2 linked regions of the Drosophila melanogaster genome follow. Changing the gene in region 1 together with any one later gene gives a genetic interaction. Each region holds a gene or a part of one and is shown on either strand. Other genes may lie near its edges. The genes, in order: kug and Sema5c.

Region 1 (5,173 bases):
TGGCTTGTCAAATAACATTGTCACGGAAATAAAAGTTGTAAAATAATTTCTACCTGTTCATTTTCAGCCTAATTATTGTAGAATGTTAAGTTTTAGTGTCGACCAAAGAGTGGATAACAGGCTTGAAGGTCCTATAAATGCTGTATGCTGTATTTGCAAGTAAAATCTAGCTTCGCTTGGTATTTTTTTTATCGTAATAATACCGACTTTGTTATTTTACGGTCGAGGGAAATTTACATGAAAATCCCACCAGATGGCGCGTTTGATAAAATCGATTTTATCGCAGGAATGCCGTATTAAATTGCCCAAGTTTCTATAAAATATAAATATATTTTGATAAATAGTAATAATAATACATAATAGAAAAAAAAAAAATAAAACATAAAAATCTGCAGAAGGCAACAAATTGCATCTAACAGTGAAGTGGAGCATTTTCCTAGCCTCACAAAATATTTAGCAATAACAAATACATTTGTCTAAAACATGTAACAAGTCAGACATATGCATGTTCTCCGCAATAAAGCTGGGATATTTTTACCAGAGAGGGTCAAAGGACTCAATAACAGAAGGGGAAATAGGGGTGCTCCATGCTCAAGCTGGTCCGGATGAGCTCGAAGTTGCTGTTGGAGGTTGCAGCTGGAGGTTGCAAGCGCAGGACATGGCCCAACTCGTTAGGACCTCGAAACGAAAAGTCGAATCAGTTGAATTTCTGTTCTCATTGACTGCGGTTTAAGTTGCTTTAAATCGCAGTAAACGGTGTGCGTCGTCGGTAGCAATTGAATGAGAAGGGAAAGTATGTTTCAATCGAAAGTCGCGTTGTTCCGTTAATATGACTCGAGCTTAGGCGACGATACGCGAGTCGATAAATGTATCTGCGCCCATACGCATTTCCAGTGCAAGTGATGTTTATCTGTAAAATGCAGAAATATGTACGTATTCGTGTTGTGTGCCACAAATACGTCCGAGTTGACCAATAGTCCACGATAATATTGCTTTACATATAAGTGTAACAGTGAATTGGGGTTGCATAACCCCCTGTGGTGATACAGATAATGAGAAACCAAATATATCCAACCAAAAATCAGTGGAATAAACCACAACATACACCTCCGCACAGGAAACTTCTGCGATGGTCTGGGCTACATTTCTTGAATTGCGAAGCCATTGCAATGAGGATTATGGGAAACCAAAGGGTTCCATTCCTTGTATACGTCCTAGTGATTTGTGATATTTTTAGGGGGCATCAACCTTAATTGACACCCAAATATATTGCCAGGGATCCATGTTTTTAATGAAAACTATAGCATTTAAATAAAGCTGTTTCCAAATTTTGATACAGTTTAAAGACTTTTTTCACATATCAGTTTGATATGTTCCTTTAGAAGAAACCAAAGCAACAACAATATTGTAGGCGAACCAAATAAATAGGACTTCATTTTAATTAGTTAAGTGCTTTCTTTAAAATTGCACTCGACAAAAACCAAAATATTATTTTTTATAATATCTCCATATTACAAATTTTGTTGTTATCTTAAATGCAGCCCTTTAAAACGTAAGATAAAGAGTTATTCGTGAAGGAAATTATTTTGTTTCAGAATTTATTTTTATTGGCGAACATACAAATAATTTAAACATTTAATTAGTCTTGACAATTGGTTTTGACCACTTGTTGAAAGGTTATTAAAGCGATTTTTTTGTATTGTTCGAAAATTTTGTATTTATTAGACAAAGGCCTCGCTTAAATTCGTGTCAATTCGCGCTTAGCAGTATAATCGATCTGGAAATTATCGGCTACGCACTATCGGTGCTGTCATCGAGTCTCGCAATATTCGATTCTTGCAATCGATTTTAGCATTTTCAAGAGAGAGCAATAGCGGGCGGAGTTATCGGCGATCGTAGTTAGTGGTGCATATGTACATGCAGCTGCCAATTAATGTGAGTGTGTAATCCGCGTCTAGAGTTCCGGAAATCAGAGATGAATGAAAATACAAACCGATGAAAGTGATCGCCCCCGAAGTTACCGAGCAACCAGCGAAAACACCGAATATTAGATAGTTCCAGACAAGTTGTGGGATCCACTCTAAATTACAAAGGTATACACACATATGTACCTGAGTGCGTTTGTATGTGGACCAAACATTTTCCAAAAAGATATATCAACCGAGAATTGTGCATTTCTGTGTTTTAAGCCAATAAAATACCCAGTGCCAGGTGCACGAAGTTTATCACGGCGATTCGGAGTGATGTGTGTGCGTGTGTTTGTTTACTTACCTTATCGGAAAATTAGGCCCACGAAAAAGAGACACATGTTATCTTTGTACACCGATGTGCTATGTACATATGCATCGCCTATGTATGTATGTAAATGCTGCACTGCTATGTAAAAATTGGAGTTAGTGCTCGTAATGGTGTGACTTTGTGGACTGATTTTTGGAGTGAGAATCCAGAAAAGCTAAGAAGAGTTCTCAGACATTGCTTCTGAATAAACATTAAAGTTGAAAGCACTCAGTGATTCACATGGCCTGTGCTCGCTAACCCGTTTCGACTTCTTTTCATGCCTTATACATATGTACATACATATGTGTGTATTAGGGTCTTATTACTCATATTTACCTACGCGCCGCACCAATTTCGCAACCTTCACGTTTTCATGAATCGAAAAGTCGAAAATCTCGTAATTTCCACTCCCAACATCCCAACAAGTGGCTCCCTCAGTCAAGTGATTATGCTGATCTGCTGTGCTAGTGAAAATTCATTTTAAAAGTGTTACCTTCACGGTTCTTTAAATTTGTAAACAATAAATTTGAGACTTGAAAGCGACGTGTTATGAAAAATATTTCAAACACTTCTTTTATTCAGTTTTATAGGAAAAATGAAGCTTTACTTTTCACACGATTGGTTTATTAGTTTTTCTTATCTGGCAAAGGTGTCAAGTAAGAGGGCTTTGTGTCGTACAACCTAACTACATGGATATCAAGATATGGAGAAATTCCCGTTCCTTGTGATTATTTACAATTTGAAGACCATCCAGAATGTAGGGCATCATTACATTATAATTCGTTTGGAATTCGAGTAATTTATGGTGGCATTGGTAGGCTGTGTCTAAAATATTACTAATGAATAAAGTTCAAAGATAACACAAGTGCAAAATGAGAATTTCATGACATACACCCGTTTATCTTCAGCAGTTTTTTTTAAATGTTCTAAACGGTTATTGTCATATCATTCTATTACATTGAATTCTATTCGTGTTTCCTTAAAAGTGAATAAGCCTTAAAGATAGAAAATGTTTTGTTTTTGGAAGCAAAGTGAATTACATTAATCACGCATTTTCGAGCCAACTAATTATAGAAACTACTATAAATGACATCAGAAGTGTGGCTGATAAGCTGGTCGTGCCCCTTTAAAAAAAAAATCTAGGTCAAATCGATTGCGGAAGGCTTCTCTTACAATTTTACTTGACGCCCAATCATCTTTTGGGAAAAATTTAAATTTATGCTTGTGCCATATGAACAAGCAGTTTTTAAGAGTGACATTATTGAAATGTACTTATAATTTTACCTCTTTGTTTATTTATGTTATAATATTTACAATTTGCTTCATTTGTGCACAATTCTTAAGCCTTAAATCAGGTACATTGCAAAAGTTGTTAAGCTTAAACACTTATTGTCAGATTGAAAGGAAGGTGAACAGTGGCGCAAATTTGCCAAAATTAGAAGCTGAACAGTTCACTTAATAGACGACTATTGTTGCTGGTAGATATAATCGGTTAGACAAAATGGAGCACTTTAAATCAATTATGTAGAAGAAAGATTGCAAATTCCACCAAACGTAGAGATGCCCATCTCGTCCGCCGTTTGAAATGCTTTCCCATCATTGGAGCATTTCCACATTTTATGCGAATTATATGTATTATGTAAATGTATTATGTACCATAAAAAATGGTTAAAACTGGACGTGTTAAATAGCCGAATATTTGATTTCGCCTCGCAATGAGTGATTTACATTACATTGTGTTGTGCCTATCTGATTAACAATTTGTTTAATTACGAACATTAAAAAATTAAGATATTTCCTCGTAGGTCGTTAATATTTAAATCCCTAATTCTAAATTGAGCTTAAACCAATGTCTTCGGATGGGATTACCGAATTCGGCTTTGAGAAAACACTACTATAATTAAACGATGTTCAAAATAAACACTGCCTAACAAAATGATTACCATTCCGTTTACGTTGCAGGATATTATGTGAAATAAGAGCAGTATATGTTTACTATGAAGATTAAAAAATATGTAACTCCTGTAAAAAGAAAAGCTTTCACCATACTCCAATGGATTTCACTACTGTGTAGTCTATGGTTGATCCCCACTGTACAAAGCAAGGCCGATGAGAAGCACACGGCGACCCTGGAGTATAGACTAGAGAACCAACTGCAAGATCTATATAGGTTTAGCCATAGTGTATATAATGTTACCATACCAGAAAATAGTCTGGGCAAGACTTACGCCAAGGGAGTATTGCATGAAAGACTGGCCGGCCTGAGAGTTGGCTTGAACGCAGAGGTTAAGTATAGGATAATTAGTGGCGATAAGGAGAAGCTATTTAAGGCCGAGGAGAAACTGGTCGGAGATTTTGCCTTCTTAGCGATTCGAACGCGGACAAATAACGTTGTGCTAAACAGAGAAAAAACTGAGGAATACGTTATAAGAGTGAAGGCACATGTACATTTGCACGACCGAAATGTATCAAGCTATGAAACGGAGGCGAATATCCACATCAAAGTACTGGATCGCAATGACCTGAGTCCGCTGTTTTATCCGACCCAGTACACCGTTGTTATTCCGGAGGACACGCCCAAATATCAAAGTATTTTAAAGGTCACAGCTGACGATGCTGACCTCGGCATCAATGGGGAAATCTACTACAGCCTCCTGATGGATAGTGAATACTTTGCTATCCATCCAACAACTGGCGAAATTACTCTCCTGCAGCAGCTTCAGTATGCGGAGAACTCGCACTTCGAGCTCACGGTGGTGGCCTACGATCGGGGATCATGGGTGAACCATCAGAACCACCAGGCCAGCAAGACGAAGGTTAGTATTTCGGTGAAACAGGTTAACTTTTACGCTCCAGAGATTTTCACGAAAACCTTCTCGAGCGTGACGCCAACATC
Region 2 (4,891 bases), 7.9 Mb from region 1:
AACCAGCCGATGCCACATTAACATTACAATTGTCGGTCGGAAAGTTAAGCCGTAAATTATCGGGGTTCTCGGGGAAGTGGTTTCGTCTATCGGTATCACTACCAACAAAATTAGCATATTTGGCCACTGTGTCTTTTCGGCCAAGACAAGAAACGCAGGCCGCGTCGACAATGGTTTAGGTAGCCGTAAATTGTCATGGGCTGGCAATGTTTTGGGCCTATGCTAATGTCGATCGTTGTCTGCCCACACTCAACTTTAACTCCCGGATCGAATTGAAACGGATTGGACGGATGGCATCGGTCCTCATGTTTGTGTATCCCTTGGGTTCGTGCTGTGGCATAAACAAAATCCGAGGATCGTGTTGCAGTTGCATTCAAGTTGAGGTTACTGCACCTTCGGGACGGTCCATTTGATGGTTTCGTATTTGTTCTCAGCGACCAGCTGTGTTTTCACACTTACTCTGGGAGTCAAGGCTGACAAAGATCTGAATAGTACAGCCTGGGATGTCTGCAGTAAAAGGAAAACCTTGGAAGGAACACTAAAAAAATAGAACAAAGCCCCACCAGGTGAATGAGCAAAACTAATCCCGTGAAAATGCGTCATATCTGTTGTTGTTCCTTAAATAAGAACTTTATGGTGTTGGACTTGAGATGAGTGATTCAGGTACTGTAAACTGTTGTACAAAGCATTAAAACACCGTTTATACTTCATTATGATAAAGAAATAATTAAATAAGTGATAAATCATTCCTTTTGTATCAAAAATATACTATACTATCTATCTGTATAGAATGAGAAAATCTATTAAATCATTTGTTTTGGCGCCATTTCTATGATTTGCTAATCGAGTATCTTTGCTGATGGGCAAAAACGTCGCAAGGCGGAAAAGATAGGATCTGTTGATCCCTCGTCTGGAGGAATATATCACGTGTCCTCGAACCGCGACGTCGGCAATACTAATGTCAATTTGTCAGGCTACCAAATCGAAGCACAGCAAGTGCCCGTCCCACCCTCCAAGTGGCTTCTCTATACCTCTTCGCGGAGCTGCACATCCCGATCCCGATCCCGGAGATTCAGATTCTGATTCTGAAGAGTCGTTCTCGTTGTCGTTGTCGCATGATATATGAGCGCCCTGCCCAGTTGCTGCTTCGGCTGCCGTAGCCGCGCCTCTTAACTCCCAAGCAGACACTGAGAGAAATTCGTACTTACTTTTGTGGGATGACTTGAAAAATAAATTTGGATTGCTATTACTATCTAAGAGACTTGCCCTTAAATTATTCGATTTAACAAACAGTTCAGTTAAAATAATAAATTACAAAGATGAAAATAAGGTCTTTTAATTATTTTATTATTATTTTTTATTTTTATTTTTACAGTTGAATTATATTATATATAGTTTTTAATTCATTGGATTATTTCATAGGTAAGGACCTCAAAACTATGCTACACTTCTGTGTACTTATAAATTTTATGAATTAAGGCTTGAAAAGTCTTTAACATTTAAGATACTAGCAGAAAATCATTAAAAACGAATACACATAATTCTGAAAAATATTTCTTGAATAAATTATGTAAAATATATTTTCGTTTTTAAATTTTGAATCAAAGGAAAGCGAATTTTAAATATTTTTTTCCTTGTTGTATTGCACATTTTTTCCGAGTGCATTCTTCAAGCCGAAATTGAGCCGGTTATCTTCGTCGGCGTTTTAGCCTGTTCTCTCTTGTTTGCCTCGGCGTTTTTTTTTTGTTTTGCGTTCGTGCTTCGTTTTCACGTTTTTGTTTTCGTTCCATTCGCTTCTCTGTCTCACTCTCTTCTCTCTCTATCGACTGACTATGGATCCGAATCCGAATCCATGGTGGGTTCAGTTTCTTGCGACTCTTTGCGCGGTCAACTTCGCCGATCGGTCGGGCATGCGCGTCCGTATAACTCGTATCTGAATAATCATAAGAGTAGGAAATCGAGGCAGAAGTAAAAACCCGTCTCGCTATATTCGTCGACCGTGTTGTTGGTGTCTATCTGTGTCTTTTGTCAATGTTTTTAACCCAACTCCACTTGAGGGGGAGCCAATCCGCCTTTCTTCTGAAAATTTCTTTCAAATAATACGAAAATCGTATGGAAAATTGAAAAATTGTGAGTGTTGTGTGCAAAGTGAACCACGGTGATCGTAGTTACGGTCAGATCATCTGAAGAATCAGAAACACGCGCCTTGCTCGATTCCCCTGCTTATCAGGCACATGCCTATATTATACAATTTACCAACAGTCTTTTACAATCTGTTCGCCGCAAAAGTTGAATGGAATAAATTTTAGTCTTTTATTTTGCACGAAACGTGACACTAAATGAAGTAAGTTTCGACTATCTCATCTGTATAATCGACGTTTTTTGCTGTTTACAATTTTTGTAATATTTTTTGAGGAAGTGTAAAGTGCTGCAACAAAAACTTATTACTAATCTTCAGGACAGATTAAGGGGTTTCTGTTAAATAGTGAAACATAATTCAAAATGAAATATAATTTAAACTTATTTAAAAGCTAGTGTTTAAGGAATTATTGAAGACAATTTTAATTTAAAAAATTTAAGAACTGTTATTTCTGAGTTGAAAAGAGGATAAATAACATTTAAGAAGAAATTGAGTTAGCGTTTGTTGAACGTCGATAATTAGTTAAAAATGTATGAAAAACTATATTATATCCACAACACACATTACAACTTCATTTCTTTTCTTTTTGCAGCATGTTAATACTGAAACTTCCCAAAATGTTTAGCCAACTGTGGCTTCTTCTGATTCTATCGCTCTTAACCCTAGAAGGCCCACAGCCTTCGACGGGCAGTGGTTATACGACAAAATCAAGTGTGGATTTGCTGGAAAACGATTCGCGATACATCTCATATCAAGGTGAGTTCTCGAGGTGGGCGGATTATCAAAAATTACTCGAAACTGTGTCAATTGCACGGCAATCAATCAAGTTGGCCACTTGAAGCGGTGGAACTGTAAATTGGGTTGATGTCTGTCAAAGTTCTAAGTGATTCCGAGAGTCTGCTGCAATCGATTGCACAAATGTTCGGTTCGATCGAACAGGTGCCATTTCGAATACAACGAATACACCCATCTGCCCAACTGTTTGTATTTGCACGGAATGTCAACAATGATCTCGATTTAACCGAGTTCCCCAACAAACCGCTTTTATGACACCCCAATACATTCGTGTATCTGCTGCTTTTAATCAGAAAAAGTTTCGCATTTTGTTAAAATATTTGTTCTTTTTTTGTGATTTTTGCACTGAAATGTATCTCGAAGTCCGTCTTAAAATGCGAACTCAGCCCAACGTTGTGTTGACAATGATTTTAATTTTTGTTTAGCGCTTTTTTATTTTATTTCGCACTTAAATATTGAAAAGTATATGTTTTACCAATGAATCAGTGAATCTTTTAAAAACCTTGAAAAATATGGGTTAAATAAAATTGAGCTTAATTGTGCCAAGATGCCAAAATGTTTTAATAAATTTGCAATATAATTGCTGAGATAATAATTGCTTATATAATAATTGCTAATATAATTGCTAATAAAACTTCAATTAAATTGCTTAGTATTTGTTTTTACGATTTTGTGCAATCTTTTTCTTACAAAAATGTTTTTATTTTCTTAACAGATTTAATGTCGACGGCCAAACGATTTTACGATCCCGAAACGACCTGGTATTCGGAAATGCTATTCGACGTGGCCAGGAACCAAGTGATTGTCGGCGCCAGGTAAAAACCGGGAGGCTATTGTTATTAGTTATTATAGATTTTGTTTCCGGCCAATTGAGTCACGGCTAAGCCGTGTACCTAGTCATTATGACTGTTTTTATTTTTCCTGTTGCGTCAAAACCCCAAAGATATGTACTGTTTGAAGGACTTGCTTTTTAATTAGTCTCACCGATAAGTGGGTCATTATTTTGGGCATTGATAGCGATAAGAAATGAAAAGGGAAAACACCCCCGAAAATAAATCGTCACTTAAGCATTTGTTAACTTTGGGTTATCAGCAGAGAGGCATTACGTAAAATTCGACGATCAGAAGAAAATAAACAGATGCATTGCGTACGTAAAACGGGTACTGATTATATTCGTCTTCTGTGTTTTTTTAGCGTATTACGCAAGTTACAAAAAAATACACAAAAGTGTATAAAAATGAAAGTGCACGCACTGGTATACCAAAGATTTTTTACATATCAACCAAGATCGACCAAAAACAAAAAAAACCCCTCGTCGAGAACTTATCTCAAGTACCTGCTGTGCGCAAGTGAATAAATAAAGATAATTGAGTGTAAAAAAAAGAATAAAAAAATTAAGAAAAGAGGGAAAGGGAACAAAACCGAAAAGGTAACCAAATAATAATATTGCAGCGCCGAGGGAGAAGTGGTATACTCCGTTTATTTGTTGAGCAATTTAATATACGCGTTTCGAGATACAAAAGTATCTGTCGCTTTAGCCGGGTTACTCGGTTCTTGTAGTTTACTTTTCATTTACGCGTCTTGAAGTTTGTTTGTTTCTGCTTCGCATAGATATGGATGCGATACTACTCCACCTCTGTCGGAAAAAAAAACACGATAAGATACACACATGGACGCATGTGTCTATAGTGTCGTCATGTTGATAAACCCACCTTAACCCATTGCTGCCCGGGAAGGGAAGTCGTTTATCATGTTCCCTTGTCGTCAATCATTTGTCATACTTTTCAGTTTCAGTTTTAGTTGCCTTTTCTATTCTTTATTGCCTACGATTTTCACTTCGACCATAACTCCACTCTGCCATATTTTTTGTTGCTCTCTTATTTACCAACCTCTGAATTATGGCATAATGATAAGAGCCCGATATTAAAAAAAAAAAAAAAGAAAACCGTTTGTAGC

Evidence for each region.
Region 2: of kug (region 1) and Sema5c, changing one enhances a phenotype caused by changing the other (phenotypic enhancement), as found in Drosophila melanogaster (one study listed by BioGRID).

The regions. Positions count from the first base shown.
Region 1 is NT_037436.4:20,004,561-20,009,733, forward strand, and holds the start of kug (kugelei), read left to right. Parts: upstream 1-2,023; 5' UTR 2,024-2,093; intron 2,094-4,239; 5' UTR 4,240-4,265; coding exon 4,266-5,173. UniProt on the Drosophila melanogaster protein: Required for the planar polarity of actin filament orientation at the basal side of ovarian follicle cells. Required for proper egg chamber shape and elongation of the egg chamber during oogenesis.
Region 2 is NT_037436.4:12,078,800-12,083,690, reverse strand, and holds the start of Sema5c (semaphorin 5c), read left to right. Parts: upstream 1-1,860; 5' UTR 1,861-2,339; coding exon 2,340-2,344; intron 2,345-2,732; coding exon 2,733-2,896; intron 2,897-3,650; coding exon 3,651-3,750; intron 3,751-4,891. UniProt on the Drosophila melanogaster protein: Regulates the motility of migrating epithelial cells by providing guidance cues within the migratory environment and may also play a role in development of the olfactory system. May act as a positive axonal guidance cue.